Cricetulus griseus: one gene and its partners. The protein of the gene in region 3 purifies or fractionates together with the protein of the main gene of each other region. This does not show direct contact. Links are inferred from orthologs where the notes say so. Each region holds a gene or a part of one and is shown on either strand. Other genes may lie near its edges. The genes, in order: Lgals1, Gab1, Met and Plxnb1.

The links.
Region 1: the proteins of Met (region 3) and Lgals1 purify together in Homo sapiens (affinity purification with mass spectrometry; 3 studies listed by BioGRID and IntAct, with this or other methods). This does not show direct contact. The link is inferred for Cricetulus griseus from reciprocal best matches to the Homo sapiens genes MET and LGALS1.
Region 2: the proteins of Met (region 3) and Gab1 purify together in Homo sapiens (affinity purification with western blotting; 3 studies listed by BioGRID and IntAct, with this or other methods). This does not show direct contact. The link is inferred for Cricetulus griseus from reciprocal best matches to the Homo sapiens genes MET and GAB1.
Region 4: the proteins of Met (region 3) and Plxnb1 purify together in Homo sapiens (co-immunoprecipitation; 3 studies listed by IntAct). This does not show direct contact. The link is inferred for Cricetulus griseus from reciprocal best matches to the Homo sapiens genes MET and PLXNB1.

What each region holds. Positions count from the first base shown.
Region 1 is NC_048595.1:376,034,499-376,038,820, reverse strand, and holds the start of Lgals1 (galectin-1), read right to left. Parts: upstream 2,812-4,322; 5' UTR 2,665-2,811; coding exon 2,656-2,664; intron 1,481-2,655; coding exon 1,401-1,480; intron 163-1,400; coding exon 1-162. UniProt on the Homo sapiens protein: Lectin that binds beta-galactoside and a wide array of complex carbohydrates. Plays a role in regulating apoptosis, cell proliferation and cell differentiation. Inhibits CD45 protein phosphatase activity and therefore the dephosphorylation of Lyn kinase.
Region 2 is NC_048596.1:156,648,635-156,652,748, forward strand, and holds the start of Gab1 (GRB2-associated-binding protein 1), read right to left. Parts: upstream 2,821-4,114; 5' UTR 1,951-2,820; coding exon 1,879-1,950; intron 1-1,878. UniProt on the Homo sapiens protein: Adapter protein that plays a role in intracellular signaling cascades triggered by activated receptor-type kinases. Plays a role in FGFR1 signaling. Probably involved in signaling by the epidermal growth factor receptor (EGFR) and the insulin receptor (INSR).
Region 3 is NW_023276806.1:208,978,515-208,982,008, reverse strand, and holds the end of Met (hepatocyte growth factor receptor), read left to right. Parts: intron 1-379; coding exon 380-516; intron 517-619; coding exon 620-830; 3' UTR 831-2,949; downstream 2,950-3,494. UniProt on the Homo sapiens protein: Receptor tyrosine kinase that transduces signals from the extracellular matrix into the cytoplasm by binding to hepatocyte growth factor/HGF ligand. Regulates many physiological processes including proliferation, scattering, morphogenesis and survival.
Region 4 is NC_048597.1:217,226,815-217,230,376, reverse strand, and holds part of Plxnb1 (plexin-B1), read right to left. Parts: intron 3,406-3,562; coding exon 3,302-3,405; intron 3,222-3,301; coding exon 3,137-3,221; intron 2,924-3,136; coding exon 2,751-2,923; intron 2,646-2,750; coding exon 2,485-2,645; intron 2,394-2,484; coding exon 2,246-2,393; intron 1,437-2,245; coding exon 1,372-1,436; intron 1,271-1,371; coding exon 1,195-1,270; intron 187-1,194; coding exon 112-186; intron 1-111. UniProt on the Homo sapiens protein: Receptor for SEMA4D. Plays a role in GABAergic synapse development. Mediates SEMA4A- and SEMA4D-dependent inhibitory synapse development. Plays a role in RHOA activation and subsequent changes of the actin cytoskeleton.

The DNA of each region.
Region 1 (4,322 bases), on a different chromosome or scaffold from region 3:
CTTCCAGGCTGGAAGGGGAAGGCAGGCTCCCGGTGCTCAGTCCCCCAGGCTCCGTTATCCTTGCTGTTGCACACGATAGTGTTGGCGTCCCCATGGGCGTTGAAACGGGGGTTGAAGTGCAGGCACAGGTTGTTGCTGTCTTTCCCCAGGTTCAGCACAAAGCTAGGGAGTGACAGGTAGGCTTAAGACCATGTTGGCTGGCTCTAGACCCAAAGCTCACTGAGAAAAGGCAGCATCAGCAGCTGGCCTGTAATGTACCTTGTTGAAACTCAGCCAACAGGAAGGCCAGGAACCTGGGTTCTAATTCTGGCCTCAATATGTGAGTTGATCTCGACCCTACCATTTCTCTCTGAGCCAGTTTCTTTCCTGTCTGTACAATGGGGGGAGGGGGCCTGCGCTGAAGGGATCTCTCTCCCAGACATTAATTGGTGTCAGCTCTTTGGTCAAGGGGGAGACTCTCCGATGTCCTCCTGTCTGTCTTGTGTATCTGAGTCCTTGGTGCCTAGTACAGAGCAGAACACTGTGCAAATGTCCCATCATTGTGGAGTAAAAGTGCAAATAGTAGTATGGGATTTGATCTGTTACATGGGACCTGGTAGCAGTACTTGCCACCATGGTCTGGTAGGAAAAAAGAGGAGCAGGCCCAGGCACTCACTACCATCAGCCAGCTAGCTGCCTTGATAAATCTGGCCCCTGGCATTCTCCACACCACAACTTTCCCTCTGGCTTTATTAGGAAACCCAGACTCTTCCGGGTGTGGAGGTGCAGACTTTCAATCTCAGCACTGGGGAGGCAAAGACATGTGGGTCTCCGTGGAGGCTAGTCTGGTAGACATATAGTAAGTTCCATGCTAGCCAGGGCTACATAGTGAGACCCTGTCTCCCCACAAGGAAAAAAACAAAACAAAACAAAAAACAAAAAAAAAAAACGAGGCTTCCTGAGCTTGGGTGACTGGTCTAAGGTCACATGGTTGCCTAGAAAATAGGCGATGGGACTGTGAATGAGAGGGAAGCACTGAAAGAAAAGACTGAGCCGGCACACCCCACCCCACCCCACCCCCAGGCAGCAGGCACGTGGGTGATCCCTCCCTCATTGCCACATTACACATCCCAGGCAGAAGGGGAGGGGGTAAGCCGAGGTAGCTGTTGAGGCAGCAGCTGGTTTAGTTTAAGAACCTCCATCCGGGAGAGAGGGGGCGGGAGGGGAAGGGAGACCACGGTGAGGTCGACCAGACCCAGCTAGGAAGTGACTCACCCAGAAAACGGAGCTTCTGCAGCTGACTATTAACCCCCTGCGGGCTGGGGAGAGGAGCCCTGGCCCAGCCACGCCCATCCCCAGCTTCGGGACCCAAGGCCTGCTAACACCGCCCCTGCCACCACCATCGCTGGCTCCATTCTCACCTCTTGGCGTCAGGGGCCACCTCGCCCCGAACTTTGAGACACTCCCCAGGTTTGAGATTCAGGTTGCTTGCGACCAGACCCTGTGTAGAAAAGACCACCTAGCTGCATTTAGGGCCGAGTTCAAACATGGCCTGAGCTACCTGCAGAGGCCTGGGGTGTGTGCATGGGATCAGAGACACCCTGGGTATCCGGAGCAGCCCTAGGGGAAGCCCAGAGGTAGGGTGGGTGGGTAGGACAAGGTGTAAGTTCTAGTCTTGATTGTCCCAGCACGGTATGCTAATTTGAAACTTATGGACAGAGACAGAGCCTAGAAGATTCACTCAGTCAGCTTGGAGATTTTTTTTTTTTTTTTTTTTTTTTTTAACTTAGAGTGGAGGGGAAGATGGAGCGTGACCGAAGTTCTCATTTAGCGCCTCCGGGAGTGAAAAAGCAGCCCCGACCTCTCCAGTTCCCCTCAAGGCTCTGTCTACAGGCATTGGAGTGGAGAAGCTGAGGGGCAGCCCCCCTCCTCCCTCCCCCGCAGAAGAGTGCAGCTAGAGAGCAGCATCATGGATTTAGCAAACTAGAGGAGAACCCAGCAGATAGCTGGGTATTGCTGGGCACCTGCCTGGTGGGCAGACAGGAGTTAATTTGTGTGAGGAGCTTCTTTGACATTTGAACCCTGACAAATACACAGCCTGTATGTCTATTTGTGCAAATGCACGCAGTTCTCTAGGCCCCCGGCTGGCCGGCAGCCACGAACAGCCCCAGCCTGGCCTGGACGGCAGCTTCTCCTGGGCCCCGGAGGTTTTTAAGTTTTTCTGGAGCAGAGGGTGATCTACTGGGCCCTGGCTCTGTGACTGGGGACAGCTGCAGGGGGGGAGGGGTCAGGAGCCTCTAGAGTAGAGGAGAGGGAAGCAGTGAATGGCCTTGCCCAAATTGTCCCCCTGCCTCCCCTTTCCCCCTCCCCAGGTGGCCACACCCTTCCCACTCTTACTTCTCAGAAAACTGCGAAGTGCCCCAATATTGGACCTTCTAAGATGTAAGCATACTGTCGGAGCTCAGAGGAATCCAGGATACTCTTAACACAGAGAGGCTGAAGACTTTTGGGGACTATGCCACCCACCCCCATTTTACAGACGTGGATACTGAGGATCAGAGAAAACACCTGTCTAAGGCCGCACAGCTGGAACCAGGTCCCAAACTGGCCACTTTTCTATGCCCATCTGCTGCTGTTTAATCCCCTAGACCTTGCAGTAGAGGGTCTCGCACTCACACAGGCCATGACTGAAGCGAAGTGAAGGCGGCTGCACCACTTGTCTGAAGACTCCACCCGAGTGACGGGACCCCAAGCCCTCTCCGACCCTTTTAACAGGACCCAGACCCGGTGAGTCCCGCCCCTCCGGTAGGCTAGGCCAATTGATGTCAGGAACGGGGTGGGGGGGCACTAGAGGCGGAGTCAATGGATTATAAATCCAGTTTTAGAGCAGAGGTGACCAGTCAGAGAGAAGAGTGCCCCTCCTTAGTCCCTCCCTCAGGGTCCAAGCGCCGCCCCTTATTCTTCCCCATCTCTCTCCTCCCACTAAAAAAAGATTTGTGTGGTGGCAGAGATTGGGGGAGCCAGTGGAAAATAGTTTGAGGATGAGTTAGGCTCAAGAGTTGGCGGGAAGGGGCCTGGGGCCAGCAGGCAGAGAGCCCCTGGGGCTCAGTGCAGCTGGTGGGGGTATGTGTGTAGAGACTGAGGAAAATTAGAGCAGGGCTAAAAGAGGCTGCAGCCTGGCAGACCGGGGTGTGGCTCCGGCTGTGGCTCTGGATGTGGGCCTCTGTGGAGGGCTGAGAAGGACCACAAAGCCCAGGCCCCACCCGGGCTTTCCCCGGAAGCAGCGTACTGTGGCTGCAGCTCAGTGCTGCTCACTAGGGCTAAAGAAAGACTGGGCTGGGCGCCAGGCCTGACGCTGGTGTCCTTGGCTCATACCTTGGACTTCACCCCACTGCAGAGCCTGCAGAGACTTCTGGGTGCCCTGGCTCTGACATCCCTGGGCCTGAGAGGTAGCCTAAGGTGTGTCAGCTCTGCACCCTTGGTCTCATTCTCACTTTTGGAGACCAGACATGGCCATCCATTTAGCAGATACTTTCCTGAGCACCTACTATGTGTCTAGCCCTGGGCTGGCCTTGGAGGACTCAAAGTTGAGCCCCTCCCAGTCCCTACTCTCAGAATCCACGGTTTGGCTAGGATCTGACCATGAGTCTGATTAAATAAGGTTGTGTTGGTTATGGGGAAGGCAAAGACATAGATACCACTGTGGTGGGATGGAGACTGTGGGATGTAAAGCAGGGTGTTGAATGACCGGGCATTCTGACTGGGCAAAGGCTTTGTGATGAGAAGCCCAAGCCTGGGGAACAAGCTGATGAGTGTGTAGGAGAGAGATAGGAGTCAGGGATCATGAAGGGCCTTTCGGACCAGACAAAGGGTTTCATTGTTGTTTCGCCTGAGGGTCCTAGGGAGCTACAGATAATTATGGGGTGAAATGCGACTTAGGGAGGCTCACTGAGCAGAGTGGAGGGTTAAGTGGTAAAACAAGGCACTTCTGAAGCTGCTCCTGCCCAAAAGCCTGGACCCCTCCTTTGGGTCCAGAAGACTACTGACAGGATGAGTCTGCCCTCTCTCTGCATTTTCTTGGATCCATCTCCATACTTTGGCTCAGACTCCTGCTTGACTCAACCTTCCTGACCTACCTCATCCTCCTTCTAAGCCAAAGGCACGGAGACAAGTCACTGACCCAAATCTGCAGTCGTCTTGGATTCTAGAAAAAGCAAAGCCATACAGGACAGCCCCTCCCCCACAGGAGGTCAAGCGTCTGCACATGCAGGAGCAGGACTGGCCCTCTCCTGAGCAACTGCCTGTCCCCTAAGCAATGGAACTTCTTTGAACCCGTCTTGCAA
Region 2 (4,114 bases), on a different chromosome or scaffold from region 3:
TGTCAACAAATGACACATGTAAATATACATAATCATACACATATATATTCTCCCACACACTTCTGCTTATTGTTATCTATGTATTTATTATTAATATTTGTATTAGTAACAAACTTTATTTTGTTTTTGTGGTTTTGTTTTTGAGATACAGCCCTTGTTAGCCTAGAATTGCTATGTAGACCAGGCTAGCCTTAATCCTTCCATTTCTGTCTCCCAAGTACTGGGTGTTAGGAGCATATACCACCATGCCCAGTTTTTATTTTATTTTGGCCTTTGTTAAGACCATTCTTCCTACAAGGCTTTCCCCTTCTGTACTACCTTCCCTTGTGGCTGGTGCCTAGGACCGAGTTCAGCACCACTAGTGAGCCACAAACTAATGGGAAAGAGTGTGCTGAGTTTCTATTGCCATTATCAGCCATATATACTGTACTGTAGTTTCCCTGAGAATCCTAACGCCATCTTCCCTAAGCAGTGCGTCTCAAGCCTAGTATCTCCATCTCCCCACCCCTCCTCCTTCACACAATAGTCTCTTTACAACTAATTCTGAAGACACCACTACCACTCTCTAAAATTTTTGGAATCAAATTGCCATCTTTACCAAGAAATCCAGGAAAACGTGACAGGCATCTTTGGGGATCCTCCGACAATTTAACGAAGCACATCTTTCAATAAAACTGCTTGTCTGTAATATATTCTAGCAGAAAGTAAACCAGAAACTCGATGGTGAGCTCTGTGAAATAAATATTGCCCGTTTCATGCAAGCAAGCAGTGAGTAATCGGATTGACTAACTTGAGGTGGGTACTTGGTGTAGATTCCCTTCAACCAGAAACAGTTTCCATCAAAACCGGTTAAGGGGGTACGCTGTACGTTTTGCTTTAGGAAAACACGTTTACTCAAAAAATAATTGCTTCAGCTGCCAGGACAAAGTGTCATTTCTTCGCTGGCAGGGGACATCGTAAAATTAGTCGATCTGGAGTAAGATTTAAGATCCCAGACTCCTGAGTAGGACACAGACTTCCACTGCAGTAGTGTAGATTCCTTCAAGATACAGTTTTCTTGACAGAGAACACAGTTTAACACACAATCAGCATCTTGAGTCAATTACACAAATACCATTTAAGCCGTTCTGGTGCCCTGGAAAAGAATCACAACACCCAGAAATCCCTGCTGCCTTCAGCTGTCCCCTCTTGCGGGGCTTGACAGCGCGTCCGGGGAGCCCAAACATTAGCCACCATGCTCCCCCCAGCGCCCTCCGGTCGCATCAAACCGCCGGCGTTCTCGGGCCACACTCCAGTGTCCCTCAAAGCAAAACCGCGAAAATGTGAACCCTGCTAAGCAGACGGTAGGGCGCGTAAGAACTCCCCCCAACCCCCGCCCCAACACTTTCCCTTGTGTGAGTAGTTTTGAGAAGTTTGCCTATACGATCCACTTCTCGCGTCCACGATTCGCTTCCCTCAACCTCCTAGAGGCGCAGAGGGGGCGCGGACCCAAGGGAGAACTGATGATCACTACTAGCCCTCGGTGCCGGGAGATGTAAATAGCTCCATGTGAATCAGATGCAGATAATAAAAGAAGGCTCTTTCTTTCCGTTTTCACCCCACCCTTGCTCAGTGGAATTAACAACAACGAAAAGTATGCAGCCGGCTTGAGCCTGGGCCCCTCTAAGGGGCGGCGAGGCCTGCAGGGGAGGCGGTCTGCAACATGGAGGGAGAAAGTTTGGCCGCCAAGTGGACGCCAGGGTGCGAGTGGACCGCACCCGGTCCGAAGCCAGCTGGCCGAGAGAGGGATCGAGGAAGCGGAGGGCGGGATTCGTGGAAGAGCTCGGCGGCGAGCAGGCTGCTGCTGCCGTGGCCGGCGGTGCCCTGACCTGTACTTACATAACGCTTCAACTTCTTCTCCGGGGGGGACTTGCGGAGCCATCCCGAGCAGACCACTTCGCCGCCGCTCATGGTGCACGCCGTGAGGGCTCGAGGGCCAGACACCGGAGAGGTCGGTGGAGACAGTGGGCGCGCTCCCGGCACACACGAACCCGAGGAATTCGCCGATTCCCTCGACGGGGCGGCCGGGCTCCGCGCGCCCTGTGTTGGCGATCGAGTCTCTTCCGCAGACCCGCGGATCGAAGCAGAACCCGAGCGGGAGCCGCGGGGACCAGAGCTCACCCGCCTTCTTTCAGTGCACCCTCCCGGCCGCCAGGCGCGCCGTCCCGCCGCCTCGGCAGCGGTCGGGCTCAGCTGGGACTCAGCCGGGACACGGAGTCGGGAGCTCGGCGCCTGGCGCTCCGCCCCTTGGGGGGGACAGGACCTCCCGCGAGCGCTCCCTGCTGCGGACCCCACGCTGCACGCGCGCACACAATGCCCGCGCGCGGAGTCCGCTCCGCTCCGCCCGCTGGCGCTTTCAGCGAGCGGGGCGCGATCTTCTCCTTCCCTCTGCTCCGAGGAGGGCCCCCGGGAAGGCGTGTGGCTTCCCGGTGGCAGCGGACGCAGGGGCAAGTCCCGCTCCCGATCCGCTTAGGGAGTGCGAGCACCGGCGGCGAGGCGCGGGGCGTCGCCTGGCGTCGGGGAGGTCGCGGGTCCGCGGCGGGAGGGTGGGTCTGCGCTCCAGCCTCCGACGAGGGCGGGGATCAGCGCAGGGACGAGGCACAGGGCGGCTCTGCTCCGGGAAGGGACCCCTCGGTCCCGTCCCCTGCGCTCCTCCCCCACCCGGGGGCGCGCGGCGGGTTCGGGGAGGCGCGGCCCGGGGTGGGCCCTCCTTCTCCTGCCTTTCCGCCTCCCCTTCCCACGATCGGTCGCCTCCAGCTTCTGCCCAGACTTTCTCTGAAACTCCTCCGGAGCGCTTCCAGCCAAAACAAGGGCCGGGGAGGCGGGGCCGGTGCTGGGAGGGAGCGAGATGGCAGAGGCACCCTGGGATCTGTAGTCAGCGGCGCGCTGGGGTCCTCGCCGCCCTGCCGCCCCGGGCCCGCGCGCTGGGCAAGGCGGCGGTCTCCGGGAACGCAGCGCCACCTTGGCACGAGCGCGGGAGCGCCGGGCATGCTCGCCAGCTCCATCTGAGTTTGCCATCTTGACACTACCTGGTGTCAGCTAGGAGTTTGGAATGGGCTGTACCCTCGCGATCCGGAGTTTCGAGGGCTTTTCTCGACCTGACAGCCTGAAAAAATAACCCAGCCAAGGTACCGGTCGCGCGAGGCTAAAGGGCTTCCTCCCCAGGACCAGGAGCGCGCCCTGCTGTGCACCGGGAGACGGAGAGGGACTTCCAGGACGCCTAGGGCCTGACCCAGGAGCCGTTCTGCCCATTGCGATTCCTTAGCCTCAACAAAGCGTTCAGCAGCATGTAGTTCTGAGACACAATAAAGTCTCACACTACCTTCATTCGTGGGTTGTTTCTTTCAGTTGGCTTTGTATTTGCTTAAAACCTGCCCTAGGACGTTGGACAGGAAACAGAATCGTACTGGATGCCATAGTTCTATTTGCCTTCTGTGTGTTTTACTTATTATACCTGGGACGAGTTTGACACAGTCCTGTGGTAGAGCTCTTATTTATGCGTGTTATTTGGAACAAAGCCTTGGAACAAATTTTAAAAGGTAATATAGATAATCAGATATAAGTGCTGCAGAGCATGGTGTGGTGGCGCATGCCTTTAATCTCAGCACTCGGGAGGCAGAGGCAGGCGGATCTCTCTGAGTTCCAGGCCAGCCTAGTCTACAAAGTGAGTTCTAGGATAACCAGGACTACAAAGAGAGATCCAGTCTCAAAAAACAGAGGACTGTGTGAAAATATGAATTGATAAACCAGCATTTCTGAAAAGTATATAATACTTGGGACTCTCCTAATAAACAGTTCTAGCCCGGAGGTGGTGGTGCATGCCTTTAATCCCAGGAAGCAGGAGGCTGAGGCAGATGAATCTCAGTGAGTTGGAAGCCAGCCTGATCCACAGAGTGAGTTCCAGGACAGGCTCCAAAGCAATACAGAGAAGCCCTGTCTCGAAAAACCAAAACAAACAAACAAAAAAAACAGGAGTTCTGAGTTTGCAATGTTGTAGTTTGGAGAGAGGGAAAAGTGCCGAGAGCCTGGCATGGTGGCACACCTGCAGTCTCCGACCTGAAGGGGGGGGGGGTCG
Region 3 (3,494 bases):
CCATCTATAAAAAATACAAAGTTGTGGCAAAACTATTGAAGGAAAAGGTAGGAACATGTTGGTACTTTGACCCTACAAGAAAGAACTCAAAAACTGTACCCCACCACCTGCAGATTAAATCTTAATCATCGTGTAGATTTCACATATTCTTTCTGAAAACTGTAACTACTTGTAATGTATATCTCATCTCCTTCTGGTTTAAACAGGCCATGAAATGTATAGCGCTTACTAGTTTGTCTTTAGGGAAACTTCTGCCGTAAATAGCAATGGTGTTAAATATGTCAAGCCAGGGTTAATTCCAGAGACCTGCTGCTGTTCCCTTCATGGCTGTGTGGTTCTGCTTCCCTCACTTGGCTTCTCCTCGATCTTGTGTTATCAGTGGTCCTTTGGTGTTCTTCTCTGGGAGCTCATGACAAGAGGAGCGCCTCCGTATCCTGATGTGAACACATTTGATATCACCATCTACTTATTACAAGGCAGAAGACTCTTGCAACCAGAATACTGCCCAGACGCCTTGTAAGTAAGAGTCTCAGTGGGGCCCTCCTTTACATCTGAAACATGTGACTTCTACAGAAGCACTTGCCCTTGTGTCTCTCACAGCATTTCTTTCTAAAAACAGGTATGAAGTGATGCTAAAATGCTGGCACCCCAAAGCTGAAATGCGCCCATCCTTTTCTGAACTGGTGTCCAGGATATCGTCAATCTTCTCCACTTTCATTGGGGAGCACTACGTCCATGTGAACACTACTTACGTGAATGTAAAATGTGTTGCTCCATATCCTTCCCTGTTGTCATCCCAAGACAACATTGATGGTGAAGTGAACACATGATGGATAGGAGGCCCATCAACCCCCTTCTAGCAAACAATGGTCCATAACTTCTCCGACAGTTCTCACTGCCTGGCCTTTGAAAGGTCACCCAATGTTTTTGCTGTTATTGTTTTGTTTTTGTGTTGCTTTTGCCAAAACTTCGCCACTATGAGACATTGATTTGCTATTTAAATTCCTGGATTCTGGGGAATTTCTCACCTGCCCATGCATCAGACACAGAAGCATGGTCCCCACAAGCTGAGGGCCAATGACAACCTGCAGCTATGAGAACACTCCTATCTCATTGGAGTTCAGAACCTCAGTTCTGGGTTGAAGTTTTTAAAAATCAGATTTTTGGTGAGGAAGTGATACAGTGAACCTTGAAGATTTCTCATAGAAAACTCAGAAGATATGGACTCTTGCAAGATGAATATGGTGGCCCCAGCAGGCTGCTGTTGGAATTCCAGTGTTTTCAACATATTCTGTTGTGTGGTGATCATGAACATTTTCCATTTTTGATGTTGTCTACCTATCAGGCAAACATTCCCTTTTAAACTTTTATATACACATTCCTTTGGTTGGATGACTATCCACAGACAATGTACTTATTTTTCAAGATAGCATGACATGAGGTGTGTTTATAAATTTTCAGGGATTTTGTGTATTGTACATAGATGATGATGGGAAGATTTTTTCAAAAACAAACACAAAAACTTTGTTACAGTAAAATATTTATCATGTAAATCTCAACAGTTTAGCCAGGAGCTAGGGCTCACACCTATAATCCCAGCATTTGGAAAGCTGAGGCAGACACACCACCACAAGGTCGAAACCAACCATGGCCACATAATGGTTTAGAGGCCAGAATGGGCAAGAGTGTGAGACCCAATCTCAGCAAACAAAAATTCAACTATTTGAGAAAAATTTTGTTCTGCTCTAGTGAATGTGGACACGTAATTTTTTATCTGTTTTTTAAATGGCAACTCTGAAAATAAGTAACTTGTGGTGATAAATCTTTTTAAAGACAACTCAGTATGTTTTTAAAGGACAATAAAACTGAAAGGTGCACTATTTCCAGTCATGGCTTGTGTGTAGACAAAGAAAGGGTCAATGGACTGGAAATATTTGCCCTTTCTCAGGTGGAGGCTTCTCACTAAAACAATTGGAGGCAACACTTTTGGGGAGCCTCATTTTGCATTAGGACGTGGTTTAGGCTAAATAAAAGCATATTTTCAAAACAGACAAAAAGCCACTTGAAAAATCTTTAATGAATAGTTTCTCTGGACAGGACTTTTGCCATGTTTTGCTCTGTGGAATTCTGTGCTTACTACTGTATAGTGCATGTGGCTTAGGCTACTCTAGCTGGTTTTGTCAATGTAAACATTGAAAGTATTATATTTTTATAGAAATGTTTATTTTTAATGCTATAAGAACATTTTTGTTAGGCCACAGAAATACTGCACTGTGAACGTTTAAGAAGAGGTATGTGAGAGTTGGATCGACAGCAGCGTGATTTTTTTCTAAATGGCTGTAAATTGTGATAAGGAAGCATACTGATTGCCAGTACACCCCACCCTCATTACATCATCAGGACTTGAAGCCAAGGGTTAATAGAGCACACTATGACATGGGTGTGCTCTTCTGAAACCCAATAGTTGAATTTGGCTGTTGCTGAAGGAAAATGATGGCAATCAAAAGGTCTTTGATGGTGGTGGAACATAATCAGAACACATAAGGAACTGTAGTACAGATTTATTTCAAATCAAATAGTACTGCTTACCAGTTCACAGAGCACTGCCAGCGGACAGCAGAAAACGGTGATCTGCTCTGTAGAAAGAAGTAGCTGTCTCTATGAGGTCAAGAAAGCGAATCCACCAAGAACAGAAAGAGCTGTGGAAGGCACCCAGACCTGTATATACATGCTCAAGAACGCTGCAATGTGAAAATCATGTTTTCTATTTATGAACCTTCCTAGGGTAATGTGTCTGGACAGATTGTGCAAGTAAATCATTCTTGTCAGAATTAGAAACTTGTCACTGCCTATACCTGCAGTTGAGCTGAATGGTACTTTGTATTTTAATAATTGTTCTGATAAATCATACAGTTAAAATAAAGTGACGTAACATCTTGTCTACTGTGAGTTGGTTATAGCTAGTCATGCTTGATTATCTACCTCATTTACATAATGACAGAGGAAGCCTAAGATTGATTTCACCTGGCTCCATGGCACTTCTCCATAGACCAGATGCTGATTCTTTAATGCATGGGCAATAGCTACATTGATTTGCATGCCTGACTCTCTGAAGTCTCTATCTTGCTTCGGGTGATTTGTCCTGAGTTCTTAATTCCCTGCATTTTCTGGCATCCTTTCCCCTGCTAGAGTACTTGGCTTTGTTAAAGTTAAAACTTGGGGTCTTCTTCAGCAAGATGAGTATCCATGGGACAGAAGCTGTAACAAAGGAGCTGCAATGCACAGTTGACAGAAAGATGGATTCCCAAGTGGCAGTTGGAAAGAGATGCCTTTTTGTCCCCTCAAAATACCCCCCTTTACTTACCAGAGAAACTCCATTCAGGTTATATCTATATTCTTGAAATGATAAAGAAACTCAAAGATGATGTATCAGTCATCTAAGAAATTTTGTAGCACTTTGGGGAAATTTGATTCTTTAAAAATTCAAGTTTGTA
Region 4 (3,562 bases), on a different chromosome or scaffold from region 3:
GATACAGGTTCCTGTACTCTGAACAGTGACAGGGCCATCCCTGCTGCCACATGAATGTGATGATTCTACTAGGCACTCCTAGAATGACTAACAGGTCCAGGGTGTGCTCACCTGGTCATAGTATTTGTTGATATACTTGTAGAGTTCGTGCAGAGCCACTCGCGCCCCAAGGTCACCAGAGTAGTTCTAGGGAAGAGGACAAATACAGGGTGAGAGAAATGAGAAGGAAGTGTGGGGGAGGGGCAGGATCCCAGAGAAGGGGACCTGAAAAAGAATGGGTCCTGGGGCTGGAGAGATGGCTCAGAGGTTAAGAGCACTGACTGCTCTTCCAGAGGTCCTGAGCTCAATTCCCAGCAACCACATGGTGGCTCACAACCATCCGTTATGAGATCTGGTGCCCTCTTCTGGTGTGCAGATAGACATGGAAGCAGAATATTATATGCATAATAAATAAAATCTTAAAAAAAAAAGGGGGTCCTGTGGTGGGAAGCAGGATCTCCATAGGGCAGGGACCCAAGGCAAAGTGTGACTGCAGCTCAGGACAGGCTAAGTCAAAGACCCCATGGAGGAAGAGAGTTTCCACTGGAGCCCTGCCAGCCTCTCCAGGCAGAACTGTAGATAGACTGGCTGGGAATGCAGCGTAACTTTGCTCTGATCTTACTCAAATGTTTCCTCACGGGGACATCAGACCCTCGCCCTCCTTCTCTGGACAGAATTGCTGATTCACTCTAAGTAACTCATGGAGCTCTCAGGGGGGATCAAATGTAGAAGTACACCCCCATGAAGGGCTTGACACAGCTGCTGTTGGCGATGTGGGTATCCTTGTAACTACTTGAGGAACACTGTCCATCGTTCCTAAAGTTCTCCTGTGTGCTGACAGTGCCATGAGCAACAGAACAGTGACAGTACGGGCAGGTAGACTGAAAAGGTCCAGAGCTGAATCCCATCCATTCAACAGACCCTACCTAACAAGGGCTTCAACAACACAAGCACCTGGCTAGATCAGATTAGATGACAGCTATCAAAACGAGACCCTGCTCACTCAGAGATGCTAGGAGGGCTGGCCTTTTTGAATACCATTGACATTGGAACACTCCTCCTGTATGGTGACAGTGTGTTCTCTCCCAGCCAGATCATAGGTATAGAGGTGACAGGGGCTTCTCTACAATTGAGACATTTGAAGGGGAGCCTTACCCGGGACAGCTCTGCTAGGACTGAGTTCATCTCTTGGTCACTGGCCGGGACGGTCTGTCTGATGTCTGCATAGTACCTGCCAGGGACAACAGATGCTACAATAAAGCCCACTTCCTTGTCCCATCAGGACCCACCTAGGGCCTCAACTGCATGCACACCCCCACGCCTCCCCAGTACCTTTCTACCATCTGTTTGTAACGGGGAATATCTCGAGCATACAGCAGCTTGTTGATGGGAGAGTCCTGGATACCAACAGAGAAGGAAAGAAGGGTCAAAGTTCAATAAGGTGATCAGCACCTGGGGTTCCCAGCAACATCACAGTTTTATAACTAAATAACCCACAATCCAGGACGCTCCCAGAAAACCAGGATTGTTGGTCACCGAAGCCTACTTCTTTGGGGTTTTTTCCTACATTGTGTGTGTATGGAAGTCAAGGGACAACTTGCAGGAGTTGGTTCTCTTCTTCCACCATATGGGCCCAAGAGATTGAACTCAGGGCCTCAGGCTTGGCAGTGGGTTCCATTATACCATTAAGGCCCTGGCCACTGGGAGCCCCATGTCAGAAGACTCTGGGCTCTGACTCCTGGGACATCTTCCTAGATGCTTCCTGTCACACCACTGACAAAAGACACCTCCAACACCCCAAGAAACCAAATCCGCCAGGCATCCATGACACCACTGGTGACACCTTGCAATTCCTCAGACTCATCCACAAGTGTGAGCTCATCATAGCCTGGGAGACTTCGCCTCACTCTTCAATACCCCACACCTGTATCTTTGCTGGCTTGAGCTGGCCACTGCTGGACCACAGGTTAGTGCAATGTGGACTCCCAAGCTCCAACCCGCCTGCAGGCAACTGCGACACTTCTCCTTGTTCCCAAGCCTACTGTGGCTACCTACCCACTTGCCCTAATGGTGAGCCCTCATCAAGTGGCACTGGTTACATAGGACTATGCAGTCATAGACTGTCACCACACTCCACTTTCCACACCCACACAGGCTACCTGGGTGACCCCATCCTCCCTTGTCATATCCCTCCCAGCCTGCTCACCCTGCCCAGTTTGTGGTCGGCCAGGGTGCAGGCATCCATGAAGGTCTGTGCAATGACGAGGAGCACTGCATCCATGTTGTCGGATGTCTGCACATCAAACACGAACTGTGGGTTTTTGATGATGTTGATCCAGAACCTCAGTGGCAGACTGCAGATTGGGGAGAAGGGGCCAGTAACTATGCTGGGAGGGAGGCAGGGGCCACACCCCCCCATACGTCCTGAGCCTGCTCCTCCCACACCTGTTGGTCTTCCAGATATGGATGGTGTCCTGATCGGAGATGCCATGCTGCTGAGCCTGTTCATCCAGCAAGTCAAAGAAGTACTTCACAGCCAGCGGCACGGGGCGGCTGGTGCCGAGAATCACCTGGAACAGGTCATCCACAAACTTCTGCAGTGTGCCCTGTGGGAAGAAAAGGAAGGAGACGGTAGCAGCAGCCACCTGTACAAGCCCCACACTGCCCCCACGTCCCCTGGGTAGCCCTTTTTTCTAAGAGCTCAGCCCCACCTTCATTGACAGCAGTCGCGTCAGGTAGATCTCAGGGATGGCCTTGGCTCGCTCACGCTCCCCACCCCGAAGGCTGCCCCTCCGTGGCCTGGGAGGCTCTGGCTCCTCGCTTGGCTTTACCAGGTGCCAGGGCCGGATGCCCCCCTCATCTACGTCCTCTAGCATTGGGGTCCCTGTGCCAAGATGTAAGAGTTTGGGTGCCCTCCATATGGTGTTGCCACCTCTCAGGAATCCAAGTCCAGTGAACTCCCCAGGAGTGGGAACACCTGGCTGAGGCTCCTCTGAGGAGGCACCAGGCTGCCCTCAGCCCGAAAGACCTTCCCTGCTACCCATGACTGGGCAACATACATGCAGAAAACCACAACAAGGAGGAGGTAGGTACTCACGTTCTCCAGGGACGTAATCCTGGTTTTCCCTAAGAACGTGCTTTGTAAGGCAGGGGACTAGGGCCACCGTTGCTCCATCTGGGACCTGCTAACCACAGCTGGTGATCCTCTAGTCAGTCTTAGTCCACCCTAGTCCATCCAGCCTCCAGCTCCCATCCCCCCCACCTTGTAATGCTGCAGGGTGTTGAGACGTCTCCACAGACCCTGAACCTCAGAAGTGACATCTTCATCAGAAAGAATGAGGTGCCCGGCCACTCCAGACCGCCATTCTGCAAGGACAAGAGAGGACTTGGTTGGAGGATTCTCTTCTTGCCATGCAGCTCATCTCATCCTAGATGGAGACATGGCCCCTCTACCTGGGGGTAGCGTCACCCATCCTCTCCAAAGAGCTAGAGAAGAACCCTCTCCCAGTGAAAGCCCATCTAA